Oryctolagus cuniculus: one gene and its partner. The protein of the gene in region 1 purifies or fractionates together with the protein of each later gene. This does not show direct contact. Links are inferred from orthologs where the notes say so. Each region holds a gene or a part of one and is shown on either strand. Other genes may lie near its edges. The genes, in order: IRF2BPL and VGLL4.

Region 1 (15,137 bases):
AAGGGCACACACCCCTCCCAGCCCAGGAACCATGGCGAACAGGAGCAGATCCTTGGCTAAGGGGGAGGCTGACTTTGCGGAGTATCACCTCATGCTCCTTGATTTCTTTTTCTTCGGCCGTGCGCACGAATGCTTCTTACAAATTAAAATAGCCTCCTCCTGCCGTGGGGAGATGGTGGTGAGCTTTGCTTGCTGTGCTTGGCAATTTGGATTCTATGCTGTAGGCAGCGGGCAGCCAAGGGTATGCAGTGCTCAGATGTGCAAGAGAACTGATGGCTACACAGCCAAGGCCTGAAGTGGGCAAGGGCCAGAGTCAGCAGGACATCAGTAGGGAGGCAGGGACACTTCTCTGAGCCTAAAGTAGGGGCTCACAGGTACAGCTCCCAGGTAGAGGTGAGCTTTCCTGGATTCAACCCCAAGACAGCACACAGGCTGTCCTACCTGGTGAAGCCATGCATGTGGAAGACGTGGATGGAGTTCCAGACTCCTGGCTTCAGCCTTGGCCATGTCCAGCGGTTGTGGTTATTTGGGGAGTGAACAAGCAAATGGACGATCTCCATCTCTCTCTCTCTCTCTCTCTCTCTCTCTCTCTCTCTCTCCCCGTAACTTTGCCTTTCAAGTAACTAAAATAAAATGAATCTTTAAAAAATTTTCACCTAACATCTATGAGTAATAGTCAGAACTCTAGAAACTTCTCTGAACTTCCCCTTCCCCAAAAGTACGGCTACAAGAGACCAAGGGTCAAATGCTAGGTCCTTGTGTTCCAAAAGTAATAAAAATAATGGGCTTCACCCCACCAGGTACTCACTCTTCTTTTGTCCCGCTCATCAGCATCCCTTCTCGAAGAAGGCTCTGGTTAACACAGTGACCTTAAATTTTTCCATTACAGTTGTTTCTTAAAAGAAATCCAGCTCAGACTCCACCACTGTGTGACCAAGGTCAAGTGACTTCGTCTCTCTGTGCCTGGGAGTCCTTACCTTCACAAGGTGGTGGACTAGACTTGGGTTCTTTTGTTTGTTTTTAAAAATTTATTTGTTTATTTGAAAGGCAGAGTTTCAGAGAGAGAGAAGGAGAGACAGAGATAGTGAGATCTTCCACTGGCTGCCCCAGGCCAAAGCTAGGAACCTGGAACTCCACCTGGGTCTCCCAGAGGAAGCTCAGGGGCCCAAGCACTTAGGTCATCTTCCACCGCTCTCCCACGCACATTAGCAGGGAGCTGGATCAGAAGTGGAGCAGCCGGGATTCAAAACTGGCACCCCGATGGAATGCTGGTGTGGCAGGTGGTGGGTTAAACCGCTGTACCACGACTCCCAGGCCCTAGACTGGGGTTCTGACTTCAAGTTCCATGGATATATGTAAGTTCCTTTAGAAATTAAGCAACACTGGTTGCATCCCAGTATCCTGAGATGTTACAGTTGTACTGTCATCCCCCATTGCATCTCTTGGATTTCAAGACAAAGGGATTTATTATCTAAGTTAGAATACATACAGGGGCATTTGGCCTAGCAGTGAAGATGTCCCCCCCCCACCCTGCCCCATCCCATATCTGAGTGCCTGCTCTTCCTTCCCCAGCTCTGCCCCAGGTTGCAGCTCCCCTGCTAACGCATATCCTCGCAGGTGTGGGAGACCCGGATGCAGCTCCCACCTCCCGGCTTCTGCCCGACCCCTCTATGGCCATTGTGGGTATTCAGTGTGGAGCACAATCTCTCTGCCTCGCAACTAAATAAAATAATTTTCAAAAGAGATACATGGAATGCATATTAATGAAGAAAAAGGCATGTGCATTCACATGTATGTGGGCGCCTATATTTTCCTGGGAAAGCTGTGTAATTTCTTATTAATCCCAGGGTGTCTCCGACCCTAACAAGTCTAGAAAACACTTCACTAGATGACTGTTCCACATTTGTGGTCATCCTTCCCCGTGGACTCTGAGTGTGCCTGGGTTTGGATCACATCACAACCTGGCGTTCTTTGTTCCTGGTTCCCACTCCCTTGATTTGACGAAGTCTAAAAGAAAACCAAAGTGACTTTCAGGACTCATTCCATCAGCCAGCGCAGCCTGGATGCACACAGAATGCACCTGGAAGCCTGCGCTTCGGCCTGGGCGTGGGAGCAGCCTTTGCTGGTGTGGCCCGTGGCTCCTCCTGTTCTCTCGAAGCTGCTGGATTGAATCCTCACGGTCCCACCCCATGGCTTGGATGCGCTGCACAAACGATGCCTGCAAGTACAATGTGGGTTTTAGAACATCTTGGCTGAGCGAGTGAGATGGAGAAGAGTAGAGCCTGGGATCACCCAGAGGCCTGGCCCTGAATCTGAGAACCCACGAGACTCCTCTGTGCCCGGCGAGGAAAATGCTCCCGGAGGCTTCCAACGTGGAAACCGTCAGCGAGGGATCAAAGCAAAACTGGATCAAGCACCCAGAACATGGGCCAGAGCAGAGCAAAGTCACGTGGTTCAAAAACACGGGGAGTGGGGGGCACCACTTTTGTTCAGTGCCCCTGGCTATGGTAAACTTTAATTAACTGCACCATTAGACTTCACTTCCAGCCTGAGTTCTGCTCTTTCCCTCCCATCCTCTCCCTCCTCTCTCCTCAAGTCAGGCTTCTTCATTGAAACCCAACTGGCCACCTCTGCTGGAAGCCTCATTGTCACAACCACCCGTCTCCTGCTAAGAATAGCACCCAGCCGCAGGGAGGGGCGGACATCGCTCTTACCGGCAGGTCCCCTTCCTTACCTGTGTGTCCCAGTGGTCATGGGCCTTGCAGTCCTAGAAGCTGCTGAGCACCGTACCAAACAAAGCAAGGTGACAGTCACAGGCCAGCACCAGTCCACATGCACATGGAGGCAGATAACAAGGCAGCCTCCCAGCTGGAGCCCTCGGACACCACTCCCAGGGTCCGCTCCCAGACAGGTAACGCACACATCTGCGTTTCTCCAAACCGTTCAAGGCCATGGCTGCACCACTGTGCCCTCCTCCAGCAGTGGTTAAACAACGCCCGCCTGTGACCCCCTCTCTGATTCTCAGGCTGTTGAGCGTTCCCCATGCTCAGAGCATGTGCGCTGGGAGCATCTTAAAGGCTCTTCCAGGCGAAACAGGCTTGGTTTTTATTAATGAGCTTAAGAGAAAAGCCAACCCAGACCTTCCAGTGAAATGTGTGATTGGTAGCCAGGCGAGGATGGATTTTGGAATTAACTCTTCCGGCAGTCTGCTATGCATTATCACCCCAAGTTAATTACCCCTGGAGGATGAAAATAGGTTTCATGACTCATAAGCACCAATACAACACTTGGCAAAAGATGAAAATGCAAGGACGCATTTGCAGGAAGCTGACACGAAGATCTATTTATAAGCGGGGAGATTCTTAAAGAGGTGAGGCAGGTACCTCCCCTGCACCAGGACTAAGACTGCACACACACACACACACACAGGGGCCTGGTTTCCACCACTTGGGGGACAGTGGCAGCAAAGCAGGAACAGAAACCGAAAGGCTGTTATTAGCAGCAAGTCCCGACACCGGCCTAACTTCCACCGGTGTTCTGGGCTAACCGGTGATTTTTTCCCCAAACGTGCCTGCGCCCATCCCCAGCCCTCTCCCTCCTGCTCCTTCTGGGATGGGAGTGGGGCGGGGGCGCCAAGTTTCCTCCCTCACTCTCCAGTCTGGGGATCACCCCGCCCAATAATGGGGTGTGGCCAGGAATGGTTTCAGATAGGGTTGCCCGGTTTTGTTTGGCTTCCTCACTCTTCCGTCTGCCTCCCAGGAAAAGTCCAAGGTTCAAAACAGGTTTGCTTGCCTGCCCCTGGTTCGTCTGGGGTCAGCCCAGGGGGCACAGCCTGAGCACGCCCTGCCTGGCCCTTCCACCTGCAGCCACCAAGTGGAGTAGGTGCACAGTTGCACTTCTGCACCTGGGGGGATGGGTTTCACTGTCACAGGTAACCCAGGCTTCAAGAACTGCCTTTGGGTTTCTCCTCTTCTCCTCCCACCAAGCCTCCTGCCTCTACACTATAAGAAGCAGGACAGAAACACACTTGTAATGCACAGGTGAACACGGCTTGGCCGGTGTGGCTGGAAGCAGCTGGGACCCTCCTGGCTGTGTGCCTGCCTTGCTTCCCAGTTGCCCACACGGCTGGGGGCCTCCAGTCCCCTGGGATTCCCCTTGTAACCCTGCAGCAACAGTGAATCCTGCCATACCTGCGAGGCAAAGCACCCTGGCTTTTCTTCCAGCTCTTTCCCCCCTCCCTGGGCATCGGCGACCACTCACGCTCCCAGGTCAAGGCACCCAAGAGCACCCCCGCTGCTGCCAATCGCAGCTGGGCCTCCAAGAGTAAACAGAAACCGCTTAGTCAGCAATTGTCTCCCGGCCAGCCGAGGTGAGTGTGCCGAGGGGGAGGGGCGGCCGCCGCACAGGCCCCTGCCCGAGCCCCCCCGCGTTTGCGCTCCGCGTTGGTCGCGGGCAGGCTGTCCCCGCCGTGGGAGCTGCGCGGGCTCAGCCCCGCAAGGACAAACTTGCTGACTCGCGGCCCAATTCATATCAATTGAATTTATTACAAGTTACTAAGCTCCAAGGCACATTACAGTGTTGTGTTAACTACAGAAATGTATAAAGGACAAACGGCAGATTCTCCATGTCTAGCATTTCGCTCTACTGGTTCAAAAGCATCCGTGCATCGATAAAGCAAAAACAAAACACGGTGAGGACCCAGCACATTCAGGTCAGCAGAAACAAACCGAAACATTTCCCCCCTCCACGAACTGGCAACAGAAAACACCCATCCCCCCCAGCACCCCCCTTACCACTGTTGCAAACTAAACAGGAAAACAAAACAAAAACAGAAATGAACCAACTAAAGTGAAGACTTCAACACTTGGGGCTGGTTAGAAAGAAGCTCTCACCATTGTATAACATATATATTTTTTCTTTTTAGGCAGCAACACTGGCCTTGGCAAAAAAAAAAAAAAAAGTCTTTTTCTTTTGTGTGTTTTTCCTTTCAGAGAGTGCATAACATTTACAAAAATACACACCAGCAGCAGTCGTTGCTAAGGGCTATTAATTCTGTACCTAGGCAAACATTCTGCCACCAAATCAACGCGAACCAACGTGATGGAAATGATTCAACCGATATTATACTGCTGAACGCAAACCAGTTTATCCTCCAAATGAAGAAGCTACATACCTTTGTTTCAAAATATAGAAACAGACGACGAAAATAACGTCTATACAGAAGACTAACTTTTTGCAGTTGTTATATTCACAATTCTACACCTGGGGGGGAGGGGCGGGGCGGGGGAGGGGCCCTCCGGATCGCGAAAGAGCCGGTCTGGGGCGCAGGGGGCCGCGACCCCGAGGCTCAAGGGTCTCTTTCCTTTTTCACTTTGACATCCCCCGCTAAGATAGTCGCGATTTCGCCCTGCATGAAGGCCCACGGTACGTTCGACCCAACCAGGGGGCACTTCTCTCCGCTGGGGCAGTACACCTCGCCGGTGGCCCCCTGGGCCTTGATGCTCTCTCTGGAACAGGGGAAGCAGAACTTGTGGCTGGGGACGGATGGGCACTGAACGAAATGCGTGTCCTCCAAGCGTTCGTGGCAAATGGTACAGCACAGGGGTCCGCTGTTGGCCATGGGGGAATCCGGAATGTTCTGGGGGTGCACTTGGTCCATGCCCGGGTGGGCGGCAGGCGGCGGGGGCGCCACCTGCAAATTCAGGTCCCCGTTACGCGACGCCAAGCGGCGTTGCCCTGGCACGGAGGCCGGCGACACTGGGCTGCTGCTGTTGCGCCGCGCCGAAGCAGTGGTAGAATGCACCGAGCTGCCGTCCTTGGGCGAGTGCGCGGTGCCCAGCGTGTCGGCCACCGACATGAGGGCGGCCATGGGGGACGGGCCGTTCTGGGGGGCCGACTCGGGCGGGGTGGTCCGGTTGGAATGGGGTCCCAGGGGCGGCGGCGGCGGGGGCGGCGGCGGGGGAGGGGGCGGACCCCCCGCCGCGTGTCCCGGCGCCGCAAAGCCCCCTGCGGTCATGGTGAGCTTCAAAGCCTCGCTCTGGTTCGCCATCCACTGCTGCCTCTGCTGCTCCTCGCCCAGCTTCAGCGCGCCCTCAGCCGAGTCTGGGGGCTCGGGGGACGCCTTCCTCTTGCGAAGGCTGGCGGCTGTGCCCCGGCCCGAGGGCGCGGCTGGCGGCAGGGCCCCCGTCCCCGGAGGCGCGCTGGGGGCCCGACTCAGACTCACGAGCGCCGTGGGCAGCATGGGGCAGCTGGCGTCCAGGTAGGGCTGGGGCAGCATGTCGGCGCCGGGCACGCCCTCTTTGAAGAAGCGCACGGCCTCGGGCAGCAGGTCCCCTAGCAGGCGCCAGTCGCCAGAGCCGTGCTTCTTCTCGTACTCCAGGTACTTGAAGCCGGAGGAGAGGCCGCGGCCGAAGTCCTTCATGCAGTCCTGGTACATCTGCTTGGCCACCCCGGACGCGCTGGAGTACACGTTGCCGGAGCCCGTGGGGTACTCGATGAAGAGCTTCAGCTCGTAGTCCATGCCGGGCTTGGAGACGGCGTCGAAGGCGAAGACGCGGCCCAGCAGCGAGTGGTCCTTCTTGAAGCGCACCTCGTACGGCGTGCAGCCGGCCAGCGTGAGCAGCGTGTCGCGCACCATCTTGGGCTTGCTGGCCCACTCCTCGGCGCGGTTGCGCAGGCTCTCGCTCAGCTCGGCCAGGGCCTCGGCGTTACGCTGCTTTTCCTTGAGCTCCCGCTCCTGGTCCGTGCTCGACACCGAGCCGGGCCTCTTGGCGCCAGCGCCCACGCCCACCTCAGCCACAGACGACGAGGTCGAGGACGACGCTGAGGACGACGCGGCCGCTACGCCCGCGGCGCCGGCCAGGCAAGCGGGGCCCCCGGGGGCGCCTGGGGGCGCGGGCGTCGGGGGTCCCCTGCTGCCGAGTCCGTGGGGCGGGGGCGGCGGCAGCACGGCGGCGCTGGTCGGGCCATTAAGCAGCGTCTGCGGCAGCAGGTTGGGGGGCACGGTGAGCTGGGGCCCCCCGCCACCCCCGGGGTTGGGGAGCCCCGTCACCAGCCCACTGTGCGTGCCACGCCGAGACGCCGCCGACGCCGCCGCCGCCGACGAGGAGTTGGGGCTCTGCCGGTTCAGCTCCGGGGGTCCCTCCTCTGGCGCCGGCTTGGGGAAGCCGTTTGGGCCGCCCAGGCCGTTGGGCAGCCGCGCGGTGTGCCCGCTGCTGCCCAGGCTCACAGGCGGCGGCGGATACTCGAAGCGGGTGCGCTGTTCCACCGCGGCGGCAGCGGCGGCGGCGGCGGCGGCGCTCAGGCCGTAGCGCTCCAGGCCGGACGGGGCGGCCAGCACCGCGGGCTTGCTGGAGGCGTCGACGTGGTTGAGCTGCTGCTGTTGCTGCTGTTGCTGCTGCTGCTGTTGCTGCTGCGCGGCCGCCGCCGCAGCTGCCGCCGCCGCCGCCGCCGCCTCCTTGGCCGACAGGGCCACCGTCTTGACCCCGACGGGCGGCGGCGGCCCCGGGGAGCGGCCGTCCTGGAAGCAGCCGTGCGCCCGCTTCAGCTGGCGCGCCGTCTCGATCACGAACTCGATGCGGTCGGCGCCCTCGTAGTTGACGCATCCGCGGCATACGGGTTCCGAGAAGTCCCAGATCATGGCCCAGGGCATGCGAGGCAGGTCGCACAGGTAGCAGGATTGTCTCCGGGACGAGGACACCTGCGCCGCCGACATGATGCCGACCCTGGGGAAGGTAGGCCCCCGCCCGGGCTGGTTCCGCGGCGCCTTCTCCGGGAGGACGGGCTGGCCGGGGAGGGAGTCCGGCTGCGGGGGAGGGGGGAGGGGGGGCGAGAAAGTTCTGCCCCGGGGGCTGGAGGCAGCGCGAGTCTCCGCCGCGGGCGCTGCGCCTCTCCGTGGGGGCTCCACCGCCGGGGCGGCGGACACGCTCAGCCTGCTGCTCGCCCCCACCTCCTACTGCGGCGGTCGTGTCGGGAGAGGGGCGAGGGCGCCTTCTTCCTGGTGCCGCGGACCGAGGGTGGAAGCTCCGGGCCCGGGGGGAGGGGGCGAGGGTGCCCCGTGCTGGCCGTCGCTGCCTCTTGGCCCCCTCCCCGGCGCGGCCGCTGCGTGGAAGCTGCGAAGGGGCTGCCTCTTCCTTTCCCCCGGGGGGCCCCCCTGCGAGCCGCGTCCTCTCTCCCCGCCGGGCTCCCCGGGGCGAGGGCTCGAGGGCTGTGCCACCCGGTGCCCAGATCCAGTCTTGCTGAAGCCGCTGCTTCCCCGGAGGGCCGGGGCAGGGGGTGGCAGCCGGGCGAGGCGCTTCTCCCCTCCGCAGCGTCTGCCGTTCCGCGGGCGGCGGCTGGCTCTGTGCGCCGGAGGGAGCCGCCACGGCCACCGTTTCCAGGACGCACACGAGCCGAGGAGAGGGGCGCACGCACGCAGGCAGGCAGGCAGGCTCCCACCGCCCCCGGGCCGCCGCGGCTGGCGGCGCTCACGTCGGCTGCAGGGCGCTCGCGCGGCGCCTCGGCCCGGGTCGCATCCCTTCCCGCTCGCGCTCGCCCGGAATGTGGGGTTGTGATTGTTACTCTACGTTCCGGAGGCGCGTCTCGGCGCTCCTGCTCGGGCTGCGGCTCGCGCTGTCCCCGGCTTGGCCGCGCGGGATGCCGCCCGGGCGGAGCGCTGACGTCACCGCCATGCTCTGCACCAGTCCCCCCCCCCCCTTTACACTTCCTCTGTCTGTGGAGCCCACTTGTTGCTCTGGAAGGGCGCATGCGCGGCAGGACGCCCAGATTCCTCCCCGCCGGCCCCTCCTCCGCGCCGCCGCCCTCCCCTCCCCCTCGCCGTGTGTGTGTACGACCTCTGGGGCTGGGCGAGCTGAGGCTGCGAGTCCGGGGCTGGGGGTGGAAATGAAACAGACGATGACCTTTCCTCTCCCTGCTCGGCTTTCCCAAGTAGAAACGCCTGCAGGAACCGCAGGCGTGGTTGGCGATCCGCGTTCCCCTCCCCACCCCAGGCCCTCATTTAAATGTCCTGTTTCAGGATTTTCGCTGAGAATTTCACATAAGGTGTTACTCATTTCATCTGCGATCGAACCCCCACCCCACCCATTCCACCTGCAGTCGCCTCGCCCCTCCCTCCCTCCCTGCGCACGGGGAGCCGCCTCGGCACCACTGATGCCGAGGCACTTGTTAAATTAGCTGTTTTCCAGTCTTCCAGAAATCGCCTTTGCGATGTGTTCTTGTGCCCTGCTCTAGGAACCCGAGCTTCAGTGGTGGCGCTAAATGAATTCAGGGCGAGCCACCCCTCCCCCGAGCCGAACTATGAAAATTCTGGCTGAATGTCTGGAGAAACTACGAGCGCCCGGAGGCCTTTAAGGAAAACAGTCCGGTCCGCGGGCTGCGCACAGCTGCGCGGGAGGGCGGGGAGGGGAGGGGCCGGAGACCAAACAGGTGAGTGCCTTTTCCGGGTTTGTGAAAGCAGGTGGGGGCAGCATTTGGTAACGCTGAGAGCTTTTTTGAAGAGTAGGGCTGCAGCCTTCAAGGGCTCTCACGTGCTGCGATTTTATTCTGTAGTGCCCCAGAAGGCTGAGTAAGGCCATGATTTTTTTTTTCTTTTACAAGATCATTGCTCATCATTATTGCTTATTGCAGAAGAGATATGTCATAGCTCTAGTTAAGGCATTTCAATGGATTTTTTTTTCTAGTTATTAGGTCTGCTGTTTTTATTTCGTGAGAATTGCAATGGCCCTCCCTGCCCCCAAGCTTGGAGGAGGTGAGGCACTGTGATGAGAGTTCAGGGTCCAGAGTGTAGCCCACCTGGTTAGAATTTCCTGTCACTCACTGCCTTTGGCACTTTGAACTAGTTACTTACAGAACTCCAGTTTTCCATCTGTAGAATGGAGTGACAGCTGTCAACCTGGGGGATTCTTTGAGCTTCCAATGTGTTTCTCATCGTAAGCTTGCGGTTCAGACACTGCACTCGGGAGTTTACTTGCTTTGCCGTTAATATGCCCTCCATTGAGAGTGTATTATCTACATTATTAAGGTTCCATTATCTATGTTATTGGACCCTTCTTATCTACAAGGGAGATTGTGTTAGTAGCCCCATCTTGCAGACCAGGTAGGTAAAGAGGTTAAATAACTTGCCTGCAGCCAATGGGGATGGCTCTAAGTGCAGTAACTCGGATTTATGACATGGCTTTCAAAAGCTAGGGCTGCAGGAGGTGCTTTGGGGTGCTCAGAATTCCCATCAGCCCCCATTCTTGGTTGCAGACAGTCTTTGATAAAAAGGTATGCAAAGGCTCCTTCCTAACGGGCCCCCAGCCTCCCCTTCTGCCAGGACTGTGACATAAATATCCCATGCAGTATGTGGAGCCCAGGAAGCTGTCAGCACATTACGGTTAGTATTGGTATTGATACTGTTACTGTTACTGATTAACGCGTGAAAGTGCTTTGTTAACTGTATAAAACCTAAGAATCATTCTTACTGCTGTTGATTATAATAAAGTTAAGTTGAAGCAACAAGAAATGCTTATATTTGTATATTTCCACCCTTGACCTCTGGAGATATCCCCCTGTCCAACACTCTGCAGCACCCCCCTCCTACTCACCGCAGGGGAGGGGGGGTTAGGGATGGGGAGACAGGGGAAAGGAAGAGCCCTAGGGAGCCGCCTCTTTCCTCTCAAAGCAGCCAGACTTCTGTTTTTGCAAAACAGTGAGCTCACGGTGCACTCCCCAGCAATAATAAACTCTCCCTGTCCTGCTGGCTCAGAGCAGTGGTTCCTCTGGTAAGAGCCATGCCTCAGCCTCCCCCACCACACCATCCTGGAGCGAGTGGCAACCTGGGGCTCCTCGGCTCAGCTGTGTGACCCATTTCTTTACCTTAATATTTATTCAGCCCTTCCTTTGATTAAACCAGAAATGCTGGGGAAACGGTGAACTAGCCACAGCCCTCTAGCCAGGCTGCTAGAGAAAGCGAGTTGGAGGCTGTGTCCGTGTTATGTTTGATATGCACACACATATGTGTCTCCCTGTCTCTGTCTTCGATGTTACTGAAGGAGACACACACACACACACACACACACACACACCAGCATCTTCAAGCAGACGTCCATGGGCGTTTAAACAGACTTTTCTTAGGCTCTCATGATCCTCTAATTTAAAAAGCACCGCTCTCTCTTTACCCTGCCCCCTCCAAGAATCCCCATCATTTCTGTTGATCAGTTGCTGCTTAGCTGCATAACCGAGGTGGAGCTGTTTGGGGATGTGTCAGAGAGATTGTGAGAGAGATGGAGCCCTCCCCCGCCAACACGCACTGATGTGGGGGTGCTCAACCTGAGAAAGCCTGGCAACAGATCTGCTCGAGGTGCCCGCACGGTGCCCCCAAGTGCCTGCTACTGCGGCTGCCTCCCTCTGCTCGCCGCCTGAGCTGGCAGCCTCACCCTGCCGTAAACTGGAGCAGGTCAGCTCTCCCTTGCCCTTTCCCAAGCGCCCTCGCTCCACGTTTGGGGTGAGAAGGTCGCTGGGCGCCTACACACTTGCAAGCTCCCTGCAGCCTCCCCGCTCTCGCCCCCCGCCGTGTTGTGGCAGAGATGGGGGCAGGGAGGCGGGGTGCTCTGGGCCTGGCATTCCCGCAGCCAGCTGGCTCAGCCTTCGAGGAGGCCCGGGCTGAACCTCGCGTCACCCCGCTGCAACGCGCGCCGCCAAGCGCTCCGGCGAGAGAAAGGCCTTTTTTGGTAACACTCAGCCCCGCGGGAAGCAAGACCCGTTCTTTGGCCTCTGAGAGCCGCCTCAGAGTGGCTGAAAACAGACGTCTGCGCTGAGCCCTCCTCTGGCCTCTCCAGGGTCCCGGATCCCCGCGCGCCAGGAATCCCGGGGCCGGCCTGCGCCCCAGGCCTGCAGAGCCGCGCAGAGGGGCTGCGGAGGAGGGTGGGGAATGGAGCAAGGTGATTTCCACTTGGACTCCTGGGCCAGGTCCCTGACGGAAGTATTTGCCTTTCCCTAAAGGATTAATCCTGTTTGGGGCTGTGTTGTGTTGTTTTGTTTTTTAAGCATTAACTTAGGCCAGGGCATAGGGTTACGCAAGTACCACTCGAGCGTGAAATCCCAGGAACAACGTGATTCGCTGAGAAGCCCGGGGGAGGGGAGCCAGCGCCGCCCGCCAGGACCTGCCCAGCCTGGGGCGCGCGGGCAGCCAGGCGCTCCGTGCAAAACTGGGTGGAAGGAAAGGGAGGGCGGGCGCAGTGGTTGGTGCTGGCACAGGGGCCGCAGCCGGCGATCGCGATCGGATCTCCGACTGCTTTCTTCCTGGAGGGGCGGGGAACAGCAAGAGGAAGAAGGGCGGGTAGGGGTGGGGAGAGTCGCGTCTGGTTCCTGCCTCCTCCCTGCTTCCTCTCCTTGCCCGCGTGCCAGGGTACCGGGGAGCCCTGCGCTGTGCTCAGCAAAAAGCTTTAGTGGTTTTTTAGGTCCAAAAATAAGAGACAGAGAGGAATAAAAAAAAAAAAAAAAAAAAAAGAGTCCCAGAGTAAGCCGCCCAGGGAGCAGGCCTAGAGAGGAAAACGCGGGGAAGAGCAGACAGGGGTGCCATTCAGCGATCCATTCGGTTTACAACAAACACCCCCAGCCCAAGAAACCTGGACAGCGAGTAAGCGGACCCCCTGGCGGGGTGGCCGGCAGCGCCACAGGTGTGCCTATCCCCGGACCCTCCTCTCCGCCCCGCTATGCAGGGAGCAGCAGCGCCAGCCGGTTCCCACCCGCCGCACCAACGGGGGGATTTCCACTCCCAGGCTCCGGAGACCCGTAGCCGCCGGCGCTTTCCTGCTGGGGCCGGCAGAAGGCGGCACCTCGGGGCGGGAGGCCCCTCCCCGCGGCCTGGCCGTCCCTCGGTCACGGCGCGTACACTTCGTGTGCAGCCGCCGCTGCCGTGCCTGATGGGGCTGGACGAGCCCGGACTTTGAAATATTTTGATTTGCCTGGGCTGGGTATAGTTCAACCGGAAACTCAGGAGAGAGGGAGGAAGAGAGGGCGTTTATTTACATGACCTCGTTCAACTTGGACTTGGCAGACCCTAAGGAGCTGTGTGTGACCTTGAGCAAATCACTTGAACTTCAGTTTCTGTAAAATGGGAATGGTGGCCCTGCCCTTTGCCTGCATTACTGGGCTTCATGGAAAAGGCGGTGTTATAATATGCTTAAGAAAATGCAGGCGGTGGTGGTGCACAGGATAATGACGCCTTCAAGGCACGTGCCCAGACGTTATCTCACCTCATGCCAGCCCTTGTGAGGTAGGTGTCTCGGCAGAAAAGCAGGCCCAGAGGCCTGGATTACTGGATACCAGGTTGTCTGGCTGCAAACCTGTTACTCCATTTCACATCTTGCCAAGTGGCTGGTTTTTGGGGAGGAGGGAGGTTGTTCAGATGCTTCTAAAAAACTGCAAGAAAGTAACCCCCCCCACACACACACACACAGGAGTTCACAGGTTACTGCCCCAGGAGATGTGAGGTTTTGGATGAATTAGCCCCCTTTGTTGTTTTGGGGTTACACATCAATGGATCACCATCCAGCTTGCAGCATTAGGTAGCCGGGTTTCCCTGGCCTCCCCTGAGACAGTCCTGGCCCTGGGCAGAGGGGCCAAGAAGGATGCCCAAGGCCTAGAACACACTCAGGTAACGGGCTGACGGAGGAAGGGAGGAAAGAGGAAATGAGTGGAGTGTCTTAAAGTGGAAGGAGCCTCTTTCCAGGCCCCAGCATCCTTTCACACGAGTTAACAAGCTTCTGCCTTCACCTAATTCAGGGCACACTGCGTGGCCGCTCACCAGATGTGTGCTGTCCTTTTCGGGGGTGGGGGAGGCTGGGCCACTCAATGACAGTGCAAGCTGCTGCTTCCAAGCACCCCCAGCCTGGCAGGCATAAAGATGGGTTGCACCTGGCCTCAGCATTCCTGGAGCTACAACGCCAGGAAACATTGTGCCCAGCCCCCAAGCCTGACAGGAGCCAAGCTTACCCCTGAACTTCCTTCTCTGGCCAGACCCAGAGCTCAGCATAAATTAGCCCCCTTTGTTTTGGGGGTGTGGCTGTGGAACTGTCCTCTTGGCTTACATTTGATTTCAAAGCTGAAGCTTAAGCTGCCTGGTGACCGACCTGGTGGGGTTCCATTGCCCATCCCCATCCCCGTTCCTTGTCCATTTGCCGTTCGTTCTGTTATCCAACTGTTCCTTTAGGGAGAGCTTTCCATCTCAGGGCTGGAGGATCTAAGGATGAACCAAGGCACAGCCCAGAATCGAGAAGCTTCCATTTCTCCTAGGTGTCCTAGTTTTCTGACGCAGTAGCCCAGAGTCATGGGAGACAGTGCTTGTTCCACACTCCCATGAGCCACGTGACTGACTTGGAGCAATCTATTCTCCAGGGACCTCCTATCCTTGCCTGCCAACTGTCAATATTCAAACCTGTTCCCCTGCTTCAGGGGCTTGCTGTGAAATTCCTTGTGGAGAGGCCCAGGGCTCCGGCCAGGCAGCGAGCCACGGGCAGGAATCACGTTTGCAGCCCTAACTCCCTCTGGGCCTGACATTAAGCCCTGCGCACCATCCTCCCCTGGGCCGCGGCGGGTTGCCTCCAGGGGTGGCCAGCCTGTTGCCTCCGTGCCCTTCTGGTAGGGACACCCATGCTGCCACAGCCTAGGAGCCTGCGCAAGACACCAGCCAGCTTGGGCTGTTTTCTCCTCATCTCTCCCAGCTAGAGAGACCAGGATTTTCCCTCCCCGAGCCCTGGTGGTGAGGCTCTTAGCCCTGGGATTTATCTGGGGCTTTTACTTTTTGTTGTTGTTGTTTTGGGCAATTTGGAAAGAAAGGAGCCAATGACCTCTTCTTTAAAAAACAAAGCGAGGCAGGAAGTGCGCTGGGCCTGAGTGGCGGAGACTAAGGGTGTAATTACAAGGTTTTGTTCAGCATTTTCATGTAATTAAACCCGAAGGGAAGGGAGCCTGGTGAGGCTTCTTGGATGGAGGGCAGAGGAGCGAGCTGGGTGGATGTGTTCTTGGGAAGGAGAGGCAGGAGGTAGGAATGGGTTTGTGTTTCAACCGGAGAAGCAGCAGGCTTCTGGCCCTTATTAGTGTTTTTCCGTTCCTTTCCCAAAAGGTAGCCGCTTATCCACCTTTGATTCGGGGCGTCT
Region 2 (15,134 bases), on another chromosome or scaffold:
TGTATAAGGATTCTTCCAGCTGGACAAGAAGGCCAGCACTCTACTGGACAAGATACAGATGCATGCACATTATACATACAAACATGCGTGAACACAACATACATACAAATATGTATAAACGTATCAGAGACAAATGATACGGCAATGCTTGATGCCCACTGTTACTCTAGTACTTTCCTTCACTGCATCTCTTCTCCTACCCTTATAAACCACCTTTTATTGGGATGACGCCTCTGGTAGAAAAACAGCTCCTGCTCTGGTCTCCAACACTGGTGGGAACTGCTCTGGATACTGAATGTAGCAGGTCAGTGCAGGAAAAGCTGTAACCGGTTATATGCTGAGGACACCTAGTGTCCTCCACCCTTTCTAACCTCCATTCAGGAGGGCCTGGGGCAGCTGCTATGCTGTATGCTCTGGGCAACAGCACCAGATCGCGTTCAGCAGTGGTTCTAAGCACCAGCAAGGAGGACTCAGTTTCTCAGCAGGAAAGTAAAACAAAGGTTCTTTGTGGGGTCAGCCAGTAGTTTATCAGTTAGTTATGAGAAACAAGAAGAAGAACAAAAGAAAACGGGTAAAGGAAAAGCTGCTGACATTAAAATAAAACTTTACATTCAGCCCTTGTCACTTTAACGGTGCTGCCACATAATAGAAGATGTGTTTATTTTCAAAAAGGGGGAAATGTCCAGAAATCTGCACTCATCACTCCCTTAACTATTACCAGGGAAGGAGGACACTCAGCCCAGCTGGATTATGGGTAGTGTAAACAGCTTTGCTAAACTGCCTGGCAGAGCACATGTGCATGGGACCACTGCATTCTGGAACCCACTCCATGAAAATCAAGTCGCCAGCCAAGAAGAATTAACAGGAAACTATTTTCATGCAAAGCAGACATAAAATAAAAATCAAGGGCAATCCATGTGGCTAATTCCTTTTCATTCATGATTTTAGACTGTGTAGAAGACAGTGCTGTTGCAGATCCCTGTTGCTGTCTCTGTATACAGCGTAGAGCACTGTCTGAATGCTGAAGCAACTAAAGCTTGTTCCGTGTATTCAAAAGTCCCTGCTAGGGCCAGTGCCACGGCTCACTAGGCTACTCCTCTGCCTGCGGCGCCAGCACCCCGGGTTCTAGTCCCGGTTGGGGTGCCGGATTCTGTCCCGGTTGCTCCTCTTCCAGTCCAGCTCTCTGCTGTGGCCCGGGAAGGGAGTGGAGGATGGCCCAAGTGCTTGGGCCCTGCACCCCATGGGAGACCAGGAAGAAGCGCCTGGCTCCTGGCTTCGGATTGGCGCAGCACCGGCCGTAGCGGCCATTTGGGGAGTGAACCAACAGAAGGAAGACCTTTCTCTTTCTCTCTCTCACTGTCTAACTCTGCCTGTCCAATAAAATAAATGAATAAAATAAAAATACAAAGTCCCTGCTTTACATACAAAGAAATTTGGCAGTGCAACAAAGTTGACTTGGACCAAGTCTCCGCTTGTAAGCAAATTGCTTCTTGATGCAGAACCAAAGCTGCTGTTCAGACCAATTCACACCGAGTATCTCCCACCCATGCTCACTCTGCACTCTCCCAAAAGCAGCAGTTTCTTACACACAATTTTCCACTACAGCACAGGTGATGGAGACCTTCCACAGATGGGGAAGAAGGTCAACTAAATAGGAAGGGGGGGGCACGGAGGCAACTCAGGCTGAAGAATCCTCAGCTCAGTTTAATGAGAAGTGGAGCAGTAGTGACTAAGAAGGAAGGCTGGGGCATCTGCCTCAATTCTCCACCCACACCCCCTCACACGTGCCCACCCGCCCACACACACACACAACCCCATACCCACACACCTACCCACCCACCCACACCATACCCATCCCCCACACATACACCCAACCACACATACACCCACACACACACACACACTCTCTCTCTCTCTCTCTCAGATAAGCTGACTTCATGCGGAAAAGCAAACCTCTTGGGACGTGTCCATCACTTTAGAACACATGATGTGAAAAAGACACAAAAGATGGCGTACAAGGCAACTCCAGCTGCACAGGACTCAAACACATAAAATGGAGGTGCTTTGTGTACCTATAAACTACACATGGCTGTGTCTACTTCCCAGTACGTACAGTATACTTCCTAGCACAGCACGCCAGAGATACAGCACCCTGACACACTGCTCGGCAGACTGCAGGCATCCCACGTGTAACAGAACGGACTCCAGCTGACAAGTGGGGAGTCCTCACCAATTCCAGTCTGTTAGGCTCACAGCCTCCCTTGCAAACACAAGGGTGAAATGTTAAGAGTCTGGAAAGATTATACATATAAATAGCAACAAACTGAAAACAGTTTATCACTGGTAAGTAAACGTTTTTTTTCAACTAAGACTGATTCAAATGATTAGGATTAAAATACTCTATCTATAGCATCCTGAACTGAAAACAATCTGTAGAACTGAGGGCTGACATAGTGGCAGCGGATTAAGAGGCCACTTTTGAGACCAGGGTTATATCAGAACATCAGTTCCGGTATCCACTTCTGATCCAGCTCCCTGCTGGTGTGCCTGGGAAAGCAGTGGAAAATGACCCAAGTGTTTGGGTCCCTGCCACCCAACAGGGAGACCCAGATGGAGTTCCTACCTCCTGGCTTTGGCCTGGCCAAGCACCAGGTGTTGCAACCATCTGGGAAGTGAACCAGCAGATGGAAGATCTATCTGCCTGTCTCTCCTTTTGCCTTTCAAATAAATAAAGCAATCTCAGGGTAAAAAAAAAAAAATCCCTTTAAAAATTTAGAAAAGGCAAGACAGCAAAGCAAACTTACAGAAATAACTCTGTAGAATTTAGCAAAATACATACCATTCAAACATTCAGGAGAGAGGAAGCCCATGCAAACAGATAAAGTAAAATCATTTTCATTTTCAGGTCCTGCTTTCAAAATAAGCACCATGGTATGCACCATGGTACATGTGTGTGTGTTGTGTGTGTGTGTTTTGTGTTTTAGGGGGAGGGGCAGTACCCTAACGTGAGTTCTTTGAAAAATAAAAGCGGAATTGGGGGTGAATGGATTACTTAGTACTACAAATTTAATTTGCTAAGCAAAGCTAAAAAAACAGTTACGAGGACTGCTGGTGTGTCACAGTGGGTTAAATCACTGCCTGTGACACCAGCGTCCTAATTGGGCACCTGTTCGAGGCCCAGCTGCTCCACTTCTGATCTAGCTCCCTGCAATGTGCCTGGGAAAGCAGCAGAAGATGGCCCAAGTGCTTAGGTCCCTGTCACCCATGTGTGAACCTGGGATAAAGCTCCTGGCTTTGGCCTGGTCCAACCCTGACAGTTGCAGCCATTTGGGGAATGAGCCAGCAGATGGAAGGCTGACAGAGCTCTCTCTCTCTCTCTCTCTCTCTCTCTGTAACTCTGCCTTTCAAATAAATAGGTAAACTTTTTTTTAAAGTTACCATGAACTAAAATATACAATGCAGATATCATTAAATACAATTCACCACTGAATAAATGTCAGACAGAGAGATCAAACAGTCAGAAACACTCCCTACATCTGCATACAACTGATTTCTTTACAACAAAACCTACTTTTCTGCAACACCCTCAAAGGCCCGGGTCCTTCTGGTGGGTGACCAGCAAAAACTGCAGTACATCTGTGCAGCACGTTTTCAAAAGTCACCACACAACCACAATCCATGCACCCTGGGAACACAGAACAATCAGGGAGGGGAGAAGGAAGGAAAAGAAACCTGCCTTCCCACCCGAGCCAAGCACAGGCTCCAAAAGATAAACAGCCAAAGAAAATAATCCTTCAAGAAGGGGGTTGAGAAACAAGGGAGGGGCTCTGGCAGGACGGAGGGCGGCACGGCACCTCCAAGCACAAGGCTGTCAGACGAAACACAACGCAACTGGGTCTCCCAGAAAGCAGTGCTCCGGCGCTCACCTGGGCCATGCCGTCAAGGCTCTTCCCACTGCCCGCACCTCCCCTGCCAGTAGACAATTCACATCAAACAAATCACAGCTGTTCCCAAGGAGGCCCTCCTGGATCCCAAGTGGTCTGCAGGGCTGGGGACACATGACTCTCCTCTCTGGCCTTTTCACCTCTGCAGGACTTTGCCCCCTGAGCTCATCAGACAAAAAAACAATTGAAAGCAGGGCTCCACCGAAACAAACGCCAACCCCTGTGAGGCCTCAGTCCCCACGCAGGGAGTCGTGTGTGCACGTCCCTGCCGACTCCACAAGCTCACTTAAGTGCAGCCTGTGAGCGAACAAGTGCTAATTATGCTCAAAAACAGTGAACGGTTCTATAACGTGTGGAACTCAGAATACTCTTAAGCTTTAAGACCAATCACAATATACAATTTATCCTTACTCTCTTCCAATATAAACTATGCTTTTAAATTAAAAGGAGAGAATTCTACCAAATTACATACTAATGGCCCTTAACTTGTAATTAAAGAATCACTAGCAGCAGCGTAAGCCACAGCCGAGTGCACATTTATTAGACCCTAAGTTCTGAGCACTGAGGAACTGGGTGAACCTGAGTGTAGCTGTCAGCCATCTTGAGAAAAGCTAATGGCCAGCCCTGCTCCCAGGAGCTTACTCTGGGCACTGGCATGCCCACAGGGCCACCAGCTCCTTACCTGCACAGTCAGAAAATAGGAAACCAAACCCAAGTGCCAAGGCAGAAAGAGAGGCAAACTCCAACGAGGCCGCTCACCTGGAGGCACCATTACCTACTCCTTCCTGGGCAGCACCACGGCCTCCACTTGGACCAGCGGGTGGCTTCCAGGCAATGAGGAACCAAACGAAGATTCAACTTGTGCTGTAACCCAGCACATAATCCCATGCGGGGGTTGTGCAGGCACACAGAGCAGACCACGTCCCTAACATTAAGAAGCGAATAAGTAATGAAGGAGACAAGACACGCGCTAATTTATAGAAGAGAACCAGCACCGTCACAACCGCTCGGCCCCAAGTGCAGCTTAGCTCCTCAACACTTTCTGAACACACTTCTCCAGCCCTCAGTCGCCTTGGCGAAAACAAGGCAAAGGTATGAGATGATGTCGGAGGCCCTGGATAGCTCTGCAGCAGGCTGATAATTACAGAACACAAGACATCATGTCATTAAATGCTAAATTATACAGTAATGACTGCAACCACCGCTGGAGAAACTGTGCTTTTGTGTGTGTGTGAGTGTATGTGTGTGTGTGAGTCAGCCTTCATTTTAAGCCACTTCCTTAGAGCCCATCAGGCACTGCGCTGCGACCAGGGGAGGCAGCGGTCACTAAGAACCCTGCCTGCAGGAGGCTTCCACCCATCCAGTGGGGCTCGGAGTTCAGAGGGGAAAATAAGGGCTGGGAGTGGGCCTGTGACTTTCCTGTGGAGACAGAGAGAGCACTGGGCCATCAGAGCACACGAGTGCAACCGTCCATGAGGGCAGGAGGCGAGGACAAGTGGTTACCCTGGAGCGCAGTGGTGATGACGGGGGAAGGAGGCGAGGACGAGTGGTTACGCTGGAGCCTCAGAACAGCCGTATCAGCAAGCTCAGTTAAGCCCATGGCTGGTCCTGAGCAAAGGTAGCTAGTTTCCAGAAGTTGGCCACACTGAGATTCTTCCTACCCTTCACCTACTTTCCCCACCTACACCCATCAGGCCCCAGCCCAAATCTACTACTTTAGGGTACACTGTGCCCTTGTCTTTTCAGTTCAGCTTGCAGGGAGCAGTCACCAAGCAGGTGGTCCACAGCCCTACCTTCCACTCGGGGTTCTCAAGCTGCAGGGGAGTCAAGAAAGATGGCGCAGACGAGTGGCTTCTACTGCAGGACCAACCTGTGTCAGGTGCGACTAACCAGCCGACACAGTAAGAAAAGTCAACCCTCCACTTCTTAATTTTCAGAAGTGCATATGCCCCCTATGTGTCCTGACAACGCTGGAACCTGGGCCCTAATGGATACCAAGCGTCGCCCACCAACGGTAGCTTCCACTTCCAACTCACTTGCCTGGACGCCAGGGAGCTGAACTGTGGAAAACGCATCCGCTCAAGTAATAGATCTTCAAGAAGAACAGCAACTGCTCCCACCTCTCCTGCCCCCAAATCCTATGTATTATTTATGCCCGTCCTCAAAACCTCCTTCCGAGTCCAGACCAGATGTGTGCAATGTTTACACTGAGGAGACCACCAGGACGTAAACAACTCACTATAAACACACTCGGAATTCTGCTGCGCTTTTCTTCATTTCCTGTGTACTTATTTTGGTGTTAAAATAATGTTAACTTTCTTAATAAGGAAAATAGAAGCAGATGTTTAAGCCGAACAGACTATAGGCTATTATCCACCAAATCGGCTCAACTTTCAAAAATCAGAGTCTGTTCCTCCCGAGTCAGGAGGGAAAGGAGATGGGACTACTCTCCCGAACGTCCCGTTGAACGTCACTGACTACACTGCGATAAGCCATCGACGGCAGGCTTGCCTCTACCAACGGCAGACATAAAAAATTAATCTGGTATCGATTTCCTAACCATCCTTCTTCCAGTCCTCTCTTGGGCTCATCATTAGGCTTTGTTTTTAAAATATCGTATTACGTGTTAACAAAGACAATGCAACAGAAACCACCTTAGAAGTCTTGGTTTCTTGTTCAGTGGGTACATGATCTTTAAAAACTGACGGCAGCGTGTTAACTGCACAGGAAAGCAGCCCAGCCGTGGACAAAAATCGGACTTTTAATGAGCGAGTTCAGAAACAAGATGACCCTGGGCCCAGCAGATTCAAAGAAAGCAATTCGCCAAAGTTCCCCGAACTGGAACGAGGCGGAGTGGAAAAGAGAGGTCCTTAAAAATAAAGGAACACATAGAACTTTAGGTGTGAGACCCCTACCCACAGATTTGGATGAAACAGCAACTTCGGTGCGATCTTCCCTCTGAGGAGGAGAGCTAAGTTTTCAACCCACAGGAAGCAGGCCTGACATTTCCACCAGAAAAACACAGCGACCCGACACCCCTCCCCCCAGCCAGGGTCAGCGTTCTCCTCCTCCAGCAGAAACGGGGAGTTCGCGGGCCGAGCGCTCGGCCGGCCCGCCGCGGCCCCGCGGGCCATGGCCCCTTCTCCCGGGCGCACGTCAGCTCCGGGCCGCCGAGCAGAGCAGCCGAGCAGGCCGGGGAGCCGCCCCGCCGCCCCGCCGCCTCCCGGGGCTGCACAGGAAGCGGGAGGCCAGACAAAGGGCCGGCCTGTGCCCTCGCGGGCGCCCGCGTCGTGCGGGGCGCGGGGCCGGCGCGCGGCCCTCCTCCCGCTGCCCGAAGCCGCGTTCCAACTTCTCCTCGCGCCCCACGAAGAAAATGCCAAGGAAACAAACAAAACACACACACACACACACACACACACACACACACACACACACACACGGGGGGGGGGGTGCTTCGGGAGTTAAACATTTCAGGACGCCGCAAGCCGAGAGAAAGCAAAGTTAAGAAAAAGAAGGCACCACAGCGCGTCCGCGTCTCCCCGGCCGCCGCGGCCCCAGGCCGGGACCCGGACCGACCCGGCGCGCACGCACCCCGCACCCCGCCGCCTCTGCGGCCACTCCCCGGCCGCCGGGCCGCCGACACCCACCTTCGTAGCACAGAATGCCGATGCTGTTGTTCATCTTGTCCAGGTACTGGTAGTTCAACAGGTCCATCTTCATCAATAGCATTTATCGGGCTCGCAAAGAAAACCAGCTCTCCGCGCTCGCCCCCGACAGGGAAAAGTTTCCAAACAATCACTTGTTGCTGACGGAGGAGCTCCTGGCTCTTTTTGCTTAAACCGCACAGGGACGGAGGCCCGGCCTCGGAAGCGCACAACAAAACAAAACAAAACAAAACCAAAAAAGCCAAAAACCAAAACGGAGAGGGGGGACACGCGCCCGAAAACCCCCGCCCTCACACGACACCCTCGCAGCGCGGGCGGCCGACCCTCACTCGGGCATGCGGAGAGCGTCTCGGCGCTCTCTACGGGGCCGCGCGGCGCGCGGAGGCAGGGGCAGAGGCCTGAAAACGGCGACCCCGCAGCGCATCGCCCAGGACAAAGCCCCGCTGCCCTCGCTCACAGCCCGCTGCGAGCCGACTGCGCGGACATCCTGGCCACGCTCGCGGGGACGCGTCCGCGCCGCGGCCTCCTCCCGCCGGCGCGCGCGTGCGCACTGGCGCCCGGCGGGCCGCGAGCGCGAGCGCACGGCGTCAGGCCCGGCGCGGGGCCGAGCGCGGGGCCGAGCGCGGGGCCGAGCGCGGGGCCGAGCGCGGGGCCCGCGAGGGGGGCCCGGGCAGAGCGGCCTGACAGGAAGCGGCCGGGCCCCTGCAGGACCGTGGGAGGAGAAAGTTAAGCCCCGGAAGTTTCTTTCTTTTTTTCCAGGAGCTGAGTGTAAAGTAAAAAAAAAAAAAAAAAAAAAAAAAAAAAGGATAGAGGAAAGAAAGGAAAAAGACATCCATCATGGAAGCGCACTGAAACTTTCGGCCAACTTCACTTAGGGGTTTTGCAAGCCCGAAGGGCTTGGCTTTGGTGTAGAGCTACACAAGGCGTCTTTGTTTCTTTTTTAAGAACGTCTCCTGCGGCCTGCGTGCACTGCAGCTGTCCGCGGCGTGGACGCCCGTCTGTAATCGGCTGACGGGGCAGTGCGACGCGGGCTCACGGGCGAGCCCACCGTCCTCTGGCGGGCGGGCGGGCGGCAGGGCTTCTAGGAGCCCACTCCCCGTCACCGCCAGCGCCCACCCCCCAAACTGGCGGACTCAAAGCTTCTGGAACCTTCTCCCAGCGGGTGGGCGGCTGGCGCCCTCTCCCAGTTATAACTCGCTGTCCCCCAGCGGGTGGGCGGCTGGCGCCCTCTCCCCCAGCGGGTGGGCGGCTGGCGCCCTCTCCCAGTTAGAACCCAGCGGGTGGGCGGCTGGCGTCCTCTCCCAGTTAGAACCCGCCACCCCCCAGCAGGTGGGCAGCTGAGGCCCTCTCCCAATTAGAACCCGCCATCCCCCAGCGGGTGGGCGGCTGGCGCCCTCTCCCAGTTAGAACCCGCCATCCCCCAGCGGGTGGGCGGCTGGCGCCCTCTCCCAGTTAGAACCCGCCATCCCCCAGCAGGTGGGCAGCTGAGGCCCTCTCCCAGTTAGAACCCGCCATCCCCCAGCGGGTGGGCGGCTGGCGCCCTCTCCCAGTTAGAACCCAGCGGGTGGGCGGCTGGCGCCCTCTCCCAGTAGAACCCAGCGGGTGGGCGGCTGGCGCCCTCTCCCCGTTAGAACCCAGCGGGTGGGCGGCTGGCGCCCTCTCCCCGTTAGAACCCAGCGGGTGGGCGGCTGGCGCCCTCTCCCAGTTAGAACCCAGCGGGTGGGCGGCTGGCGCCCTCTCCCAGTAGAACCCGCCATCCCCCAGCGGGTGGGCGGCTGGCGCCCTCTCCCCGTTAGAACCCGGGAGCTCTGCCGGAGGCACAGCAGCCCTTGGCTTTTCCGCACGTGGGAACCTTGAGGGACAGTTTTATCTGCGCGCATGGTTCCGGCGGTGGCACCACCAGCAGCCCAGGCCTGGAGCTGGCGCTGTGGCGCGCGTGCGGAGTGCGTGCGGGGTTAGGCCGCAGGCTGCAGAGCCGGCATCCCTTAGAACTCCTGGTCCAGTCCCGACTGCTCCACTTCCCGTCCAGCTCCCTGCTAACGCCACCTGGAGAGGCATCACAAGGTGCCAGTGCTTGGGCCCTCGCCACCCAGGTTGGAGACCTGAAGAAGCGCCTGGTGCCATGTCTGCCTGGCCCTGCTCTGGCCATTGGGGCTATTCAGAAAGTAAGGCAACGGGTGAAGCCTTGTCGCTCCCTGTTTCAAACAAACAAATCAATCTTTTAAAAAAGGGGGTGGGGTAGCCTAGGGCTTCTTTTCAGGATTCTTCAAGCATGGAGGAGTGGGCCGTATTTAAATGGATAACCTCACAGGATGGCTTGTGTGCTAAAAATCTAGCAAGAGGGCCGGCTTCGTGGCACAGTGGTTAAAGCCAGGGCATGCCACATGTGCGTGCTGGTTCAAGTGCCCAGGGTGGCAACCGCTCCACTGCGCATCCACTTCCCCTAATGTGCCTGGGAGACAGCAGAGGATGGCCCAAGTGCTTGGTCCCTGCCAGGAAACCAGGATGGAGTTCCTGGCTCCTGGCTTCCATGCGGCCCAGCTCCAGCTGTTGTGGCCATTTGAGAATTTTTTTTTTTAAGATATATTTATTTATTTGAAAGAGTTACACAGAGAGAGAAGGAGAGGCAGAGAGAAAGAGAGGTATTCCATCCACTGGCTCACTCCCCAATTAGCTGCAACGGCTGGAGCTGCACTGATCCGAAGCCAGGAGCTTCCTTTGGGTCTTCCCACGCGGGTGCAGGGGCCCAAGGACTTGGGCCATCTTCTACTGCTTTCCCAGGCCATAGCAGAGAGCTGGATCAGAAGTGGAGCAGTCAGGACTCGAACTGGCACCCATATGGGATGCTGGCACTGCAGGCAGAGGCTTTACCCATATGCCACAGCGCCGGCCCCCATATGAGAAGTTAAGCAGTTGATAGAATATCTCTGTCTCCTCACCCTATCACTCTGCCTTTCAAATAAAATAAAACCTTAAAAAAAGAAAATACACGGGCCGGCGCCGTGGCTCAATAGGCTAATCCTCCACCTTGCGGCGCCGGCACACCGGGTTCTAGTCCCGGTCGGGGCGCCGGATTCTGTCCCGGTTGCCCCTCTTCCAGGCCAGCTCTCTGCTATGGCCAGGGAGTGCAGTGGAGGATGGCCCAGGTGCTTGGGCCCTGCACCCCATGGGAGACCAGGAAAAGCACCTGGCTCCTGGCTCCTGCCAGGATCAGCGCGGTGCGCCGGCTGCAGCGGCGGCCATTGGAGGGTGAACCAACGGCAAAGGAAGACCTTTCTCTCTCTGTCTCTCTCTCTCACTGTCCACTCTGCCTGTCAAAAAAAAAAAAAAAAAAAAAAAAAAAAAAAAAAAAAAAGAAAATACAACAAGAGTTGCATTTGGGGTAACAGGCACATTTGGGACAAGTTGTTCTAACCAAACATTACTTGCAAATTCCCATGACACCCAAATATTGCTGTCGTCACTACTGCAGTAGTAATTGGGTTACAGCAGCCCAAGTAAGCAACAGAAGAACAAATATTTCAAAAGCTTCCCTTTAAAAGGATCTTCACTGATGCCACATTGCATCTGGTAGATCTGAAGAAGCTGCACTGAAAGATACCAACAATAGTAATTAAAATACCTAGCTGTGGCCAGGGAGTGCAGTGGAGGATGGCCCAAGTGCTTGGGCCCTGCACCCCATGGGAGACCAGGAAAAGCACCTGGCTCCTGCCATCGGATCAGCGCGGTGCGCTGGCCGCGGCGGCCATTGGAGGGTGAACCAACGGCAAAGGAAGACCTTTCTCTCTGTCTCTCTCTCTCACTATCCACTCTGCCTGTCAAAAAATAAATAAATAAATAAATAAAATACCTAATGGTAGGAACGCCCCTTGTGGTGCAGCAGGTTAAGCCACAGCCTGCGGCGCTGGCATCCCCTATGAAAGCACTGCTTCGACTCTTGGTTGCTCCACTTCCAACCCCGCTTCCTGCTAATGCACCTGGAAAGGCAGAAGTTGGCCCAAGTACATGGGCCCCTGCCACCAGAGTAGGAGACCAGGATGGAGTTCCTGGCTCCTGCCTTCAGCCTGGTCCAGCCCTGGCTGTTGTGGCCATTTGGGAAGCAAACTAGTGGATGGAAGATTCTCTCTCTGGTACTCTGACTCTCAAATAATTTAAAAACCAAAAATCTTAACATGTCTAATAATGATATTTGGCAGGGGAGGTTGGAAGAAAATTCTTACAAGGTCTAGTACATACAAATTGCTCTGAAAACAAGTTTAATAGCTTTAGGTGTCAGATTCAAATTCATCCAGTAGTTTTGGACAAGTACTAGCTGTGCTGGGTTCTTTCACCTAAATTCTCCATCAGAAAACTTGGCACACCATCAGCATATCATAGAATGGGGGGAGAGCTGACTGCACCTGAGGCTGTGTCCCAGAGTGATGTGAGGGTGGCAGCCCACGGCTGTGGCTTTTACAGGGCCCCAGGAGACCCTGTAAGGTGATACCCCTTGCCTCCATACTGCATTTGATACGCTTGCTTTCAGGAGTGTTTAAAAATACATAGCGGATCTGAGCACAGTGATTGCTAACTTCCCTTTAATGACTCGGCATCACTGCCAGCAGTGGTCTCCAGAGGGCCTGGGCACTTTCCGGTGCATCGACCCGCCCGCTACCTTGCCTGCGTTTCCGTGAGGCGCTGGCGGGTACAGCCAAGTCCCATGCTGAAGTACCTGCGTCTGATGACTAGCTGTGGCTCCTGATGCCAGCTTCCTGCCAACACAGACCCTGGCAAACAGCTGGTGATGGCTCAAGTAATTAGGTTCCTGACTTCCACGAGGGGAAACCTGGATTGAGTTCCCGGCCCTTGCCTCTGGCCTGGCCTAGCCCAATCCCTGCTGTGGCGGGCATGAAGGGAGAGCTCTGTCTCCATCTCTGCCTTACAAATTTAAAAATATGCATATATACAAATGTACACACATAAATAAAACAATCTGGCATCAATTCCCAGGCCCCAGCTGCACCCTCCTCTCTGAGCCGGGAGACTGCCACAGTGTGGACCATGAAGAGGCTGTCACCAGTCCGAGAGAGAGAGAGAGAAGCTGAGAACCAGCAATTGGAAATTTTTATAGTGCTAGGAAAGACTAATTTTAAGTCTCAAGTATGAACAATTAAAAAAAATAAAGGGTGTATTTTTTTCATATTTCTAGCTATTGAGTTTCACTGCGTTTTACAAGGTATTAATCTGCCACAAAGTCTGAAACAACAAACAAGCAAACAAGAACTTGGTTTCCATGGGGAAGCCCTATGTGGCAACAGCAGCTCTCTGCAGCGGGAGAAGCCCTCCGTGGCTGGCCCAGGCCGTCCACCCCAGCTCCTCACAACTTTCACCAAGTGCTTTCCCCCCACCAGTCACATGGCCTTGCTCCTCAGGACACGTCTGCACGTCCACCCTGCATGGGAGCTTCTCCAGCCTGTCCTGTGACACCCCCTGGGTCCCATCCTCCCACCCCTCACCCCTTCCCCTGTACTATCCGTTCACCACACACCTGCTCTCACCCTAACCAGTCCAGGTGTTCAGAGCAAGGGCTATGCCTTCTTAGCCTGTTCAAGGTCAGTCTGTTACATGGTAGGTCAATAGTAAATACCTGTTGATTAAAATCAGCAAGATTAAAACATCTAGGGGCAGAGTCGTAGCCCACTGGGTGATGCCACCACTTGGGGTGCCTGGGATCAAATCCCGTCTCCGCTTCCAATTCTAGCTTGGGCAGCAGATCACGGCCCAAGTATGGGTTCCTGCCACTCCCATGAAAGACAGGTGGAGTTCCTGCTGCCTGGCTTTGGCTTTGCCCAGCCCAGGCTATTAAGGGCCTCTGGGGAGTGAACCAGCAGATGGGTCTCAGCCTCTCTCTCTCTCACGTATATAAATAAATAAATCTTGGGGGAAAAAAACCCACATCTAAGAGGCAGACTCTCCATCTGCCCCCTCCTCACTGCTGGCATACCTGGATGATACGGCTCCATGTGAAATGTCCATCAACACCTCTTAGGGACCACAGATCCTTACCTGTGAGGACCATCTGGATTCCAACTATACCTCAGGGCACCATCCAAAAGAAAATCCAGGGGCCAGTATTGTGGCACAGCGGGTTAAGCCACCACCTGCAGCACCAGTATCCCATATGGGCACTGGTTCATGTCCCAGCGCTCTGGGCTAATGTGCCTGCAAAGGCAGCAGTGCTTGGGCTGCTACACCCACATGGGGGACCGGAAGAAACTCCTGGCTCCTAGCTTTGGCCTTGCCTAAATGCGGCCATTTGGGGACTGAAGCAGTGGATCAAAGACCCTTCTCTATCTCTCCCTCTCTGTAACTCTGCCTTTCAAATAAATAAATCTTAAAAAAAAAAAAAATCCAAATTCTTGGAAACTGTCAATTCTTCTTAAACTGATCTTAAGGCCAATACAGTCATAACTTAAAAACCAAAAGACTAGTTTTTAAGGAAAATCTGAAAGACTTTCAAATTGTTTTATGTTTCTGTTTGTTTTTCTTATTTATTTGAAAAACACAGAGAAAGACAGTGGTCTCCCATTTTCTGGTCCCTTCCCCAAATGCCTGCAACATGAGGCTGAAGCTAGAATCCAGGAGTTCCAATGGGGGTGGCAGGGCTGCACTTCTGCCATCACCTGCTACGTCCCAGTCGCTGCACCGGAAGGAAGCCGGGTACAGGAGTGGAGCCAGGACTCAAACCCAGACACTCCAACGTGGCACGCAGGTGCCCCAAATGGCATCTTCCCACTAAGCCCATGCCTGCCCCCAGGTTCTGAATTTTACCCACCGCTCCCCAACCCACACCAACAAAAAAGATAGAAACAGCTAATTTGTTAAAAAAAAAAATCTAGAAATTTGACCTATCAGGTATTTGAAGCATGAGTAAACAACATTTATGGGTTTTTACTGGGTACTAGGTACAAAATATGCAGCATTTTTTAATAAAGAGATTTCTAAGATTTTTTTAAGAGATTTATTTATTTATTTGAAAGGCAGAGTTACAGAGAGGGAAAGAGAAAGACAGAAATCTTCCATTGACAAGATCACTCCTCAAATGGCTGCAATGGCCACATGGGATGCCGGTGCCACAGGTGGCAGCTCTACCCACTACACCACAGTGCCTGCCCCAGAACAGATAACATTAAACACAAAATCTCATATATAAGAATCAGAAATCCGGCTGGCGCCGTGGCTCACTTAGCTAATCCTCCGCCTGCGGCACCGGCATCCCATATGGGTGCCGGGTTCTAGTCTTCCAGTTCAGCTCTCTGCTGTGGCCCGGGAGGGCAGTGGAGGATGGCCCAGGTGCTTAGGCCCCTGCACCCACATGGGAGACCAGGAAGAAGCACCTGGCTCCTGGCTTCGGATCGGCACAGCGCCAGCCATAGCGGCCATTTGGGGAGTGAACCAACGGAAGTTAGACCTTTCTCTCTGTCTCTCTCACTGTCTGTAGCTCTACTTGTCAAATTTTAAAAAAAGAAATCAGAAATCCAGGCCA

The links.
Region 2: the proteins of IRF2BPL (region 1) and VGLL4 purify together in Homo sapiens (affinity purification with mass spectrometry; 3 studies listed by BioGRID and IntAct, counting the BioPlex papers as one, with this or other methods). This does not show direct contact. The link is inferred for Oryctolagus cuniculus from reciprocal best matches to the Homo sapiens genes IRF2BPL and VGLL4.

Annotation. Positions count from the first base shown.
Region 1 is NC_091451.1:22,810,346-22,825,482, forward strand, and holds IRF2BPL (probable E3 ubiquitin-protein ligase IRF2BPL), read right to left. Parts: upstream 8,613-15,137; 5' UTR 7,715-8,612; coding exon 5,348-7,714; 3' UTR 4,521-5,347; downstream 1-4,520. UniProt on the Homo sapiens protein: Probable E3 ubiquitin protein ligase involved in the proteasome-mediated ubiquitin-dependent degradation of target proteins. Through the degradation of CTNNB1, functions downstream of FOXF2 to negatively regulate the Wnt signaling pathway.
Region 2 is NC_091441.1:115,533,132-115,548,265, reverse strand, and holds the start of VGLL4 (transcription cofactor vestigial-like protein 4), read right to left. Parts: upstream 8,157-15,134; 5' UTR 7,674-8,156; coding exon 7,592-7,673; intron 1,374-7,591; exon of another isoform or gene 1-1,373. UniProt on the Homo sapiens protein: May act as a specific coactivator for the mammalian TEFs.